Linked DNA regions of Macaca mulatta. The protein of the gene in region 1 binds, or shares a complex with, the protein of each later gene. Links are inferred from orthologs where the notes say so. Each region holds a gene or a part of one and is shown on either strand. Other genes may lie near its edges.

Region 1 (6,315 bases):
TTATTCCTCAGATATTTTTATTTTTCATAACCATTTTTATACCGGAAGCCAAATATCTTCTTCTGATGTATCCTCTATAATTGGGACATTTAGAGTTTGATGTTTCTGTACATGTTTAAAAGAAGTGAATTTCCCCAGATGGGGGTGGGTGGACACCCACCCTTTATTTTCCCTAACAGTTGGAGTAGAAAATAGTTTTGAGTATATTCCAAATTATAGCGTAGTCAGTCTGATTTTCGCAGTGTGTTTTCAAACGTGTTAATACTAAGACTGCTTTGGCCAAATGATTCATATACTGCCAAGGGGTTCCTGGGTAAATTTCTATGCATTTCAGTTTCTTTTTAGGGAAGTAGGAACAATATCTGTCTTACAAGATTCGTTCTGAGAACCAACAATGTGGTACCTAAGGCACTGGAATTCTTTCAAAAATTTATACCCTGACATTTCCAAGAGCCATGGTCACCCTTACAAAGGAGAATTAGGCACGCATTTGTAGACACTATAACTTTTAAGCTACAAAAGACCTTAAGTAACATTCAATCTAATCTTATTATAGAAGTAAGTATACCACAAAAAAGTTAACTGACCCCTCCAACTAGTGTGCAGTTAAGACTGCACTTGAGATGCCCCCCTGTGGTCCCTGTTTCACCTTGCCTCAATCATTGTAGAATTGCATATCATAAGCCTACAGAGACAGTGGTGTCTATCCCTGGGAAGTTTTCATTGTAACATATGATCATTACTACCCTGGAGGTTCTATCTGATTTTAATTTTTTTCACTTCATACTTGGTCTCTCTCTATTGAGTCAGATTTCTTACATTCTAATATTAGGGGAAGGGTGGAGATTTGAAGAGAGGGGAAGGATTGGTTAGTACATGGCCAGTCAAGGTAAAGATGATTGCAATCATCACCAGAAATCTCTGCAGAACTACAGAGGGCTCCTGGGACTAATTCTGAAGAGCTCTGACCGAAGTGTGCTTTATTTTGCCTGTACCAATTCTACCAAGTAGATGAATTCAGTCCATGGCTTGCAGGCTTGGAGGTGGAGGTGGGATGGAGAGCATAAATTACATTTCTGCAGGTGAAACCAGAGCATAGTGAGCCAAAACCCCTTTCTACCTGGGTGGCATGAATGGGTCCAACTGCTACTATCCCCCAGGACGAGGGAGCAAGGCGGGGGGGGGGCAGGATGGGAGGATGGGGCTGCCTTGAGCCTCCTGCAGGATGACTGGCAACTACTTTCTTAGCGGTCCTTAAGGTCCAATCGCGGTTAAGGCACTAACTAAACTCATTCTTCAGCCTCCTTCTCTAAGTGCTCCTCGAATTGCTCAGTTTAGATGCCCAGAAGTAGGCTCAGGATCCATTCTCTGCGGCAGCACAATGTAGGTCAGATAGCATGAATGCAACAGCTACTTATGAACACAATAGCTACTCTGTTATTGCAAGGTATCCACAACCACCACTACAAAGATTAACACCTTGCTTTACTTGGGGGGAAAAAAAAAAATCATGGTCCTATTCAGCAGTTTCCCCATACAGGGAGAGTTTGCCCCTCCCCCACTCAACAAGGCTGTTCATCCCTAGGAAGTGATTGGAAGTGATTTGAGAGTTTTCCAAAGATTTAGGCTTTCCACTCCTCCAAAGCTTTCACAGTTCTACCTGGCAGAGGTGCGTGGGGGGTAGGGGAGGAAGGGCGCGAAGCTAAACGTCCCCGTTCTGCAATGAGCCTGATATTAGCAGAAACACAAGAGCGGCCTGCAGCCCCATAACCACAGTGCGTCCTTCCCCTTAGAAGTCTGGGGAAAGAAAATCCCTACGCCCAGCCATCATTTCCACTCTTGCGTTTTCAAAAGATCAAAAAACGGAAAGGACCGGCAGGTTGGCAAACCCCAAAGAGGGACCGCCCATCATGTCGGCGTCCTTGGGATCTCAGCAGCCGACGACCCCAATTCAAATCGATCGTGGGAAACCCCAGGGAAAGAAGGTTCACTTGCAGAGAGACAGGATTACAGGGTGCAGGCTGCAGGGAAGTACCGCGGGGAAGGGGGCCTGGTCGGAAGGACTTTCCAGCCACTTGGCACTCATCAAAAAGTTCCCTGTCCGTGACCCCAGTGGCTCATCGCAGGGAGTTTCTCCGACGAACCCCAGCTCAGGGTTTAGGCTTCTTTTTCCCCCTAGCAAAGGACGAAGCCAGTTCTCTTTTCTGGTCTGACTGGCTTGGAAATTCCCCGCGCCTGACCCCGCCCCAGAGAAATCCCCAGCCAGCGTTTATAGGGCGCCGCGGCGGCGCTGCAGAGCCCACACCAGCCCGTGCCGCCGTCCCGCCCGCCAGCGCCCTAGCGAGGAAGCAGCGCGCAGCCCGCGGCCCAGCGCACCCGCAGCAGCGCCCGCAGCTCGCCCGCGCCATGTTCCAGGCGGCCGAGCGCCCCCAGGAGTGGGCCATGGAGGGTCCCCGCGACGGGCTGAAGAAGGAACGACTGCTGGACGACCGCCACGACAGCGGCCTGGACTCCATGAAGGATGAGGAGTACGAGCAGATGGTCAAGGAGCTGCAGGAGATCCGCCTCGAGCCGCAGGAGGTGCCGCGCGGCGCGGAGCCCTGGAAGCAGCAGCTCACCGAGGACGGGGACTCGTAAGTGGCGCAGACCCGGAGCCGGGGGTCCTCGGGAGGGCCGGATGCGCGCGGCCGGGGAGTGGGAGACGCCGGGCCTGGAGCCCGACCTGGGGAACTAGCGATGCAGCCGGGCTGGCGCCGCGGCGCCCCGGGGCTCCTGCACCGCCCCGAACGCTGCAGGGCTGCAGGGCCGCGCGGGGCACCGGCCCGACTCGGAGGGGCGGCGGCTGGGCCCTGGTGGACGGCAGCGTCGCCACACGCCCCCTCCCCCCAGGCCTGTCCTCTAGGCCGGGGGCGGGGCGGCAGCTGGGACGCGAAGTCCCCGGTTGCATAAGGCGTTTCTGGCCGCTGGCGGGCGCCGAGCAGCCGGGAGGGGAAGTACAGGGCGTTCCGAGCTGGCGGGAGGGCGGGGCGGTCTGGCCGGCGCCCGCCGGGGCCGCGGGGGGAGGGGGGCGGAAAGTCCCTGGGCGCCTGCCAGGAACACTCAGCTCATAATAACCTCGCGGAAAACACCGCGGCCTCGGCCTCCAGAAACCCCGGCCTTGCGCAATCCCCCGCAGCCCGCGCCTCCCTGGGCCCCACGCGGTGCACTCACCACCCCTGGGGTTTTTCCCTCTCTTCCCCACAGGTTTCTGCACTTGGCCATCATCCATGAAGAAAAGGCACTGACCATGGAAGTGATCCGCCAGGTGAAGGGAGACCTGGCCTTCCTCAACTTCCAGAACAACCTGCAGCAGGTGCGCCGCTTGCCTGGCCCGGGCTCTCTAACTCTGGGATGGAACTGATGTAGCAAAGTCACCCCAGATCCTTTCTGAATTCAGGGCCACTGGGCATTATTCACCCTCACCTTTTACTTCACGTCAGCCCACATCCTAGAGAGTGAAGGAAATTCCACTGATTTGGTGAGGTCTTTGTGACCCACCTGGAGTCTCTGCTATTTGCCAGTCCTCCCCACCCGCCTGTCCAGGAGGAGCAGCACCCAACCAGGAGACACGGGTTCAGGGGAACTCAGGGTGTGGGTTTGGTCCCTGGCTTACTTTCTCTGGTCTCTCCTGCATTCGTAGACTCCACTCCACTTGGCTGTGATCACCAACCAGCCAGAAATTGCTGAGGCACTTCTGGGAGCTGGCTGTGATCCTGAGCTCCGAGACTTTCGAGGAAATACCCCCCTACACCTTGCCTGTGAGCAGGGCTGCTTGGCCAGCGTGGGAGTCCTGACTCAGTCCTGCACCACCCCGCACCTCCACTCCATCCTGAAGGCTACTAACTACAATGGTATGTCTGCCTCCCTGCCCTGCCCCACCCCCTCAGGTGGCAGGTGATGTGGAGAAGGGGCAGGTGGGCCAACTTAAGGAGTCGAGGCAAGAACTTAAACTGCCAGCATTTGAAAGGTTGAGAAAATACGTGTGCAAAGTGCCTGTTGGATGCCTTTATAAAGTTCCTTCAGAACCCAGACGGTGGGTTCTTAAAATTCAGAAGATATGACTATTTGTCCCATAAAAGAATAGGTGAAAGGAGTGAGGGTTGAAACAGGTGGTTATACTTTTTTCGTTTTGTTCTTCCAGGCCACACGTGTCTGCACTTAGCCTCTATCCATGGCTACCTGGGCATTGTGGAGCTTTTGGTGTCCTTGGGTGCTGATGTCAATGCTCAGGTTAGTGCTTCCTGCCTCCGATGCACTGAGTCAAGTTCCCCGTGCTCATGTTGTGAGCAGAAATTCCAAACGCAGCCATAAGCATCTCAAATTCCTTTTGGTTTCAGGAGCCCTGTAACGGCCGGACTGCCCTTCACCTCGCAGTGGACCTGCAGAATCCTGACCTGGTGTCGCTCCTGTTGAAGTGTGGGGCTGATGTCAACAGAGTTACCTACCAGGGCTATTCTCCCTACCAGCTCACCTGGGGCCGCCCAAGCACCCGGATACAGCAGCAGCTGGGCCAGCTGACACTGGAAAACCTTCAGATGCTGCCGGAGAGTGAGGATGAGGAGAGCTATGACACAGAGTCAGAGTTCACGGAGTTCACGGAGGATGAGGTGAGTCTGTGAACTCCTTGGGCTCTCTAACTAATGAGGGACCATTCCCTTCACCCTCCCGGGCCCCTAGAACTGCTCCTTATCAGAGGGGTATCTACATAATGAGTCTCTCAAATTTCTGTGCATAACCAGTATCCCAATAATGTACCTTTTTTTTTTTTTAAAATAGCTTACCCTTTTTTAAAGAAAAGCATTTTTTAAAACATTTTTAAAATGGGAGTTAAAGGCAAACTCCCTCAGCCTGTAAAGTTCATTGTATTTGGGCTATGGAGAATGGAGTCCAAGGGTTATTTCCAGTAGCGGCCTCCCCATCCCAGTGGCTTGGCAGAGCTTCGGAAGTTTAATGTGTCTTCTTTCCCCTTGTTTTCAGCTGCCCTATGACGACTGTGTGTTTGGAGGCCAGCGTCTGACATTATGAGCGCAAAGGGGCTGAAAGAACATGGACTTGTATATTTGTACAAAAAAAAGTTTTATTTTTCTAAAAAAAGAAAAAAGAAAAAAAATTTAAAGGGTGTACTTATAGCCACACTGCACACTGCCTGGCCCAAAACGTTTTATTGTAGTGGGATCAGCCCTCATTGTGTTGCTTTTGTGAACTTTTTGTAGAGGACAAGAAAGATCATTGAAATTCCAAGAAAACTTCTTTTAAACCTCACCTCTGTGGGGTTTTGGACATTAGCAAAAATTCATGGAAGGACCACATTTTATATTTATTGTGCTTCGAGTGACTGACCCCGTGGTATCCTGTGGCATGTAACAGCCAGGAGTGTTAGACCTTTCAGTGATGTGGGGTGAAAAGTTAATACCTGTCAAGGTTTGTGTTACCCTTCTGTAAATGGTGTACATAGTGTATTGTTGGTAATTATTTTGGTACTTTTATTATGTATATTTATTAAACAGATTTTTCCAAATAAGTTATCCTGATCATTTTCTTCCTGTTCTGAAGTTCCATCCTCCGGCAGAGGTGGAGGTGGAGCATTGTAGGGGAGCAGGGAACTCCCAGCAGCTTCTCACACCTGACACCCAGCCTCCAGCAAAGCTTTGCAGGCACCCTGGGCTCAGTGTGTGGGAGGGAGGCTGTTGCAAGGTTATAGGAAATACCAGTTTCAGGCTTGGGGTGGAAGTGTGCTGCTTGGCCTGTGGTTGGAGAGGTCTCCATTGTCATTCAGTCATCCCTTGATTTCAACTGTTGCTGGACCCTAACTGCCAGTTGAGGAAATTATTTTGGCCAAGAAGAATATGCTGAATTCATATAGAGCTGGGAAAGATCTCACTAATACAGGAAGTTCTTAAGGACATAGGCTCAGAAATGGGACTGTACTGACATTTGTTAGCAGATACTCACCTCTGAGCCTCAGTTTTCTCATTAGCTGGGCTGTTCTGAAAATTACATAAGACAATCCACGTAACATGCATAGCATAGTGGCAGGCATGTAGTGCTAAAGAAAAACAAGCTGTTACACAACATCCTTTATGTCATACCAGGAGAAACAAGCGCAGAGAGAATGTCCTGTCCACGGTCACCTTGCAGGAGAGGTAGGTGATTAACATACTTAACACGCACTTATTTTGGGGTAAACATCTTTTAAGAACATTCCATCTGTTTATGTGTTTTGTTACTGGCTGTAGTAGAAAAGTAATAAAGACTTGAAGGGTCTCTTATCAGTTC
Region 2 (5,157 bases), on another chromosome or scaffold:
AGTATATGGGTGTTCATTTTTGCAAGTTTTCTGTCTGTTTGGACATTTTATAATCAAAAGTTGAAAAATAATTTCATTTACCTTATTTCCTGATTTTAAAAATTTCAGAGTTTTTTTCATAAATATTTGAAGCAAACAATTATTCTTTCCTTTTCGTTTTTTCTTTTCTTTTTTTTTTTTTAAGAGAGCAGGATCTTGCTATGTTGCCAAGCTGGAGTGCAGTGGCTCTTCATAATGCACTGCAGCCTTGAACTCCTGGGCTCATGCAATCCTTCTGCCTCAGCCTCCCTAGTAACTCGGACTACAGGTACATGTCACTATGGCTGGCCGCCATTATCATCCTCTTTTTTTTTCCTTTTTTTGAGACAGGGTCTCACTCTGTCACCCAGGCTGGAGTGCAGTGGCAGGATTACGGCTCACTGCAGCCTGAAACTCTTGCACTCAAGCGATCCTCCTGCCTCAGCCTCCCAAGTAGCTGGGACCACAGGTGTGTGCCACCACACCCAGCCAATTTTTATATTTTTTGTAAAGACAGGGTTTCGCATGTTGGCCAGGCTGGTCTCAAACTCCTGGGCTCAAGCAATCCATCTGCCTTGGCCTCCCAAAGTGCTAGGATTACAGGCGTGAGCCACCATGCCTGGCCGCTGCTATTTTTCTTAATGAAAGAGGAAATATACAGAACTGACATTAAGACTAAATGCAGCAAAAGTTGATGCAGTAAACATTTTATTGTAATTTCCCCAAGTTTTAACAAATCAGTAGTTTATAGTAACCAAATTTTAGCACACAGTTTTATTATTACAGCTATATAAACATAATTTATTTTCTATTTGGGAGGTACCATATCTGAATTAAAGTACAAGTCCCATCTTAATGAAGAAAATGGATTGCTGAAGCAAAAAGGTACAGAACAAACCATTCAATTTCAATGGTCACATTGTTAAGAAAGCTTACCACTCATTTAATTTGACCAAAAATGCTATTATTGAAGATAATTGATGACATAATCCTAGTATATCCCTGAGTAACAGCAGATAAGGATTTAAGGTTGAGGATATTCCCCAAATGCTCTTTCCTCTTGAGTTCTGTTTCCTATATGCATCCCAAATGCCAGACAGGCTAGCATGGAAAGTTAAACCTTTTGCACCCAACATAGCCAAAGCAGGCACCCATATCCACACAAAACTTACCATCATACTATTGCCCTGTTCCTCATTTGCCTCATGAATAATAGTGCTTAAATGGCCAAGGCAGTTCAAATTTTCTTCTATCATTTGTGCTGAAGTATCCCTGTGAGATGAAAGAACAAAGCCTTTTCAAATTCAGCAAAAGGGCATATGAATTTCCTCTACTTTCTAGTCTTCTAGGTTAGCACAATCACTACCCTTCCTGTAACCCAGTACCCCAGTGCAGTTGACTCCTGTAGTCTTTAGTTTCCTCATCCCTCCCTACAGAGGCAGAGTCCTGTTTAAACCAAGCTTCTGCCTCTACCTCTACCTACCTCTAAGGATAAGAAGTCCACTATAACTCCAATCTGACTTTCCTCTGAAACGTAAGAGGCACTTATGTACAACTTGCTTTTCCCCTGAATATGTAACTAGGGAGGAAAAAATCCTTGTGGCAAAGACAGATGAAATACCTCTTTTTGTTTCTAAAAACTTCTCTTTCCTTAAAAGTAGTAAAAACACCAGCATGCATACTTCACAGACACAAATGTAGGGGAGAAGAGAAAAAAGTAAAATCTGTTATGTAGAGATCACAGAAAATGAAAAACTCATTAGAAACTACAGATAGCAATGAAACAAAACAAGCAAGCTGATTCCTGAGGACAGCAAAAGAAAACAGTGAACAGTGTGGTGGGGGAGCTACCTAGAACCAAGAAGTATCCCTGGAAGTTCATATTTGAAGGCAATCCTGCTTGTGGTTTCTACCTTCATGCTTTCCTCTTCTACATGGCCTCTCTCTTCTCCCTTTGCCAACTTCAGTCCCCTAACAAGAGTCCGTTTTAGGTCATGGATGATAGTCACTATCAGCTTAGAATGACATTCTGATTCAGCTCTTATCCAACAGATGGAAAAATTGTGGCCAAACAGTTCCCAATCCTTGGTAGTTAAGTACCACAGATACATAATAATTGAAATCAATTTTCTTATACAGTGTATTCTGACTGGACACGGTGGCTCATGCCTGTAATCCCAGCACTTTTGGAGGCCAAGGCAGGTGGATTACTTGAGATCAGGAGTTCAAGACGAGCCTGGCCAACGTGGTGAAACCCCGTCTTTACTAAAATACAAAAATTAGCCAGGTATGGTGGCACGCGCCTGTAATCCCAGCTACTTGGGAAGCTGAGGCAGGAGAATTGCTTGAATCTGGGAGGCGGAGGTTGCAATGAGCCAAGACTGTGCCACTGCACTCCAGCCTAGGCGACAGAGTGAGATTCCGTCTCAAAATAAAATATAATGTGTTCCTTCTAGAAAATACATTGAAAGTATGTCACATATACTTTTGCAAACAACCACACCTCAAATTGGAAATCACCTGTATTGCGGTGACATTTGCAAACATTAGCATCTGCCAAAAAAACCTAAATGCCTTTAATAAAGGCATAAAAGTAAGTAAAGTATTAAATTTTATTTCCTTCAACTCTGATTGCTGGAATATTTTGTAAAGTCCATATATTTAATTATAGCCTGTGCTACAGTTGTAGGTGTACTGCATTGGGCCACATGTATAATGACCCCAAGATATATACCCTGGAACTTCCTTTCTTTAAAAAAATAAAATACCTGATATCAGCTTGCCTTCCTGCCATGTGCTTTTCTCTCATAAAAGTAGAGTACAGAATGTGCAACTGCATGACCTCCTGAGCAGTGATGTAACATGGCTGCTCTTCTGCAAAACTAATTATGGGCAGAGTTTCCAGGAAATGCTGGTGCTGTAGAGGTCTCCATGAGTTGTGAGAAAAGCGACAATACACAAGCTAGCAAAGAGCCACTGGCTTTGGATACGGCACATCTTATGCTGAGAAAATAACAGAAATGGATAGTCATTCAGCTTTAGCAAAAGAGTAGGAATTAATAAAATATAGGGCTTGGAATTTGAGTTCTTACTTGCAAAACTGATTTAAAACATTGAAAAAAGTCTAATCTTAGAAATACAAAGTTATAAAATAGATCTCAAAAATTTATTAGAAGGGTAATCAAGGATCCCCAAAATGATAAATGCAAAATGATAGCATAATTTCTTATAAACTGTTAATGAAGGAATAAGGTTTGAGTAAAAGAAAGTAATAAGCCAATAAAAGAAAAGACTTAGAACTTGGACTGAGCTAATAATAAGCAACATTTGCTGAACATTTATTTCCCAAGCACTTTATATACATTGTCTAATCAAATTTCCACAACAGTTCTATGAGACATTCCTGTTTTACAGGTGAGGAAATATGAACATCAAAAAAGTCAAGTAAGTTGCCTAAGATTATTACAAAGGGATAGTCAGGACTCAACCCTGGTCTGAAGGCACAGAAGACTACCTTAACAACTACTGCCTCATTCCTATACCACTGCTATGAAAACACAGCTATCTATTGTTACAAAGTAAACCCACCCATCTTGAGGAGTTACCACACATGACAGAGAATGATCATGTTCTGCTGAAGTCGGGGGCAGCCATACTGACGTCTGAGGGGTTACTGCACCTTCTAGACTGGATCCTACAAGGGACCGGGCAGAACTCTGTGTCTGAAGGAAAAGAAAAAAAATCATCAAAAGATTACAGGCAAGCATCTCTGTTGATTCACACAATTTCTTACCATATTCCTAAGACTTACATTTCCATTACTACTTATATGCACAACCAGAGTATTTCAGTGCAAAACTATTCCCACCTTTACACACTGTTAGTAAACTGTCCTTGGCCCCTTTCTTCATTGACTAAAACCAAATGTATCCATTCATCTTATACCATTTTAGTTGAAGAAAGAAAAAAAACCCAGTTGAATAGATGGTCAGTTTCATTATCTAGTCAGGTACATCTATCCCCAAGTTGGGTTGGAATACCACAGTGGTCAAGGGCTAAGAGGAGTATAACAACAGAGAAATTGGAAAGGAGAGATGATAATAAGTCCTGCATCTCAACTGCTAGTTTGGACACCAAGCAAGGAACATGGACGTCATTTCATGCCAGTGCAAAATATATACATGCCAGCACAAAATGTGTTCAAGAGGGCTCACCTCATGCTGATAAAAATCCCCTTTGCAGGGAATAACAGCAACTCAATGTCACATTAAATAATTCATTAATAATTACTTACACAGGCAATTTTAAGGAGATGCCATATTTCTTTCTGCCTTTTTCCCTGCATGAACATGACAGTATTATCAGCTTCTTTGATGTTACTGAGGGCCACTTCCACCTTAGGGAGTAGATCAATAATCTTCTGCTTACAGCCCAACAACTTGCTGGAGAGATTAAATCAGTGTCAGACACTTACATGTTCCCCAAGACTGTATGTATACCATATTCCCAAAACCCAGCTGAGGAAATGAACCACAATCAGCATCAGATTTAATGACTGATCTCCAAAGTAATGCATACAAAAGGACACATAAATGCAGACAGCTATGGCCAAGCTACCCAAGGTACTTTCAGAATCCTTCCTGGGTAAGTATACTTTACCAAAGAGGGCATTTGTACTTTGAGAAGAACAAGATAAACGTATCCTGGTTCTTCAGTAGGAAATGAAGCAATTTTCCTACCTCAAATGACCAAACAGCTCCTTGAGCACACGGTCCTGACTCTGCACAGTGTGCACAATGATTTTCACCATCTCTGTGCTGTCACTGTAGGAGTGATCTATAAAAGACATCAGTCAGTGGGTATAATCTTTCTTCTGCAACATATCAACCTCCAAACAAAAAATTCCTCAAAAATCCCTGAAACTCTGAAACTAATTTTAATTAATAAATATCTCCATTTAAATTAAAAATTGGGTTAAAAGATATAAAGATTACCTATAAATAAAATCTAGTTATATATAAAAAATAAAGTTTGTATGTGTATAATGTATATATAAATTTATCAGTAAGAGGCCTTAGTTGCCTGTGCTTAAGAAGAATAGTCTTGGCTATCTTTAACCCATACTAACCCAAGCCCCAG

What was found.
Region 2: NFKBIA (region 1) and CHUK share a complex: the UniProt entries of both Homo sapiens proteins name them as parts of the 70-90 kDa complex. The link is inferred for Macaca mulatta from reciprocal best matches to the Homo sapiens genes NFKBIA and CHUK.

What each region holds. Positions count from the first base shown.
Region 1 is NC_133412.1:108,519,390-108,525,704, reverse strand, and holds NFKBIA (NF-kappa-B inhibitor alpha), read left to right. Parts: upstream 1-2,316; 5' UTR 2,317-2,406; coding exon 2,407-2,633; intron 2,634-3,243; coding exon 3,244-3,352; intron 3,353-3,679; coding exon 3,680-3,890; intron 3,891-4,180; coding exon 4,181-4,269; intron 4,270-4,376; coding exon 4,377-4,646; intron 4,647-5,016; coding exon 5,017-5,064; 3' UTR 5,065-5,544; downstream 5,545-6,315. UniProt on the Homo sapiens protein: Inhibits the activity of dimeric NF-kappa-B/REL complexes by trapping REL (RELA/p65 and NFKB1/p50) dimers in the cytoplasm by masking their nuclear localization signals.
Region 2 is NC_133414.1:112,238,445-112,243,601, forward strand, and holds part of CHUK (inhibitor of nuclear factor kappa-B kinase subunit alpha), read right to left. Parts: intron 4,855-5,157; coding exon 4,758-4,854; intron 4,461-4,757; coding exon 4,313-4,460; exon of another isoform or gene 4,285-4,312; intron 3,788-4,284; exon of another isoform or gene 3,741-3,787; coding exon 3,607-3,740; exon of another isoform or gene 3,327-3,606; intron 3,022-3,326; exon of another isoform or gene 2,787-3,021; intron 2,471-2,786; exon of another isoform or gene 2,322-2,470; intron 1,990-2,321; exon of another isoform or gene 1,870-1,989; intron 1,291-1,869; coding exon 1,191-1,290; intron 1-1,190.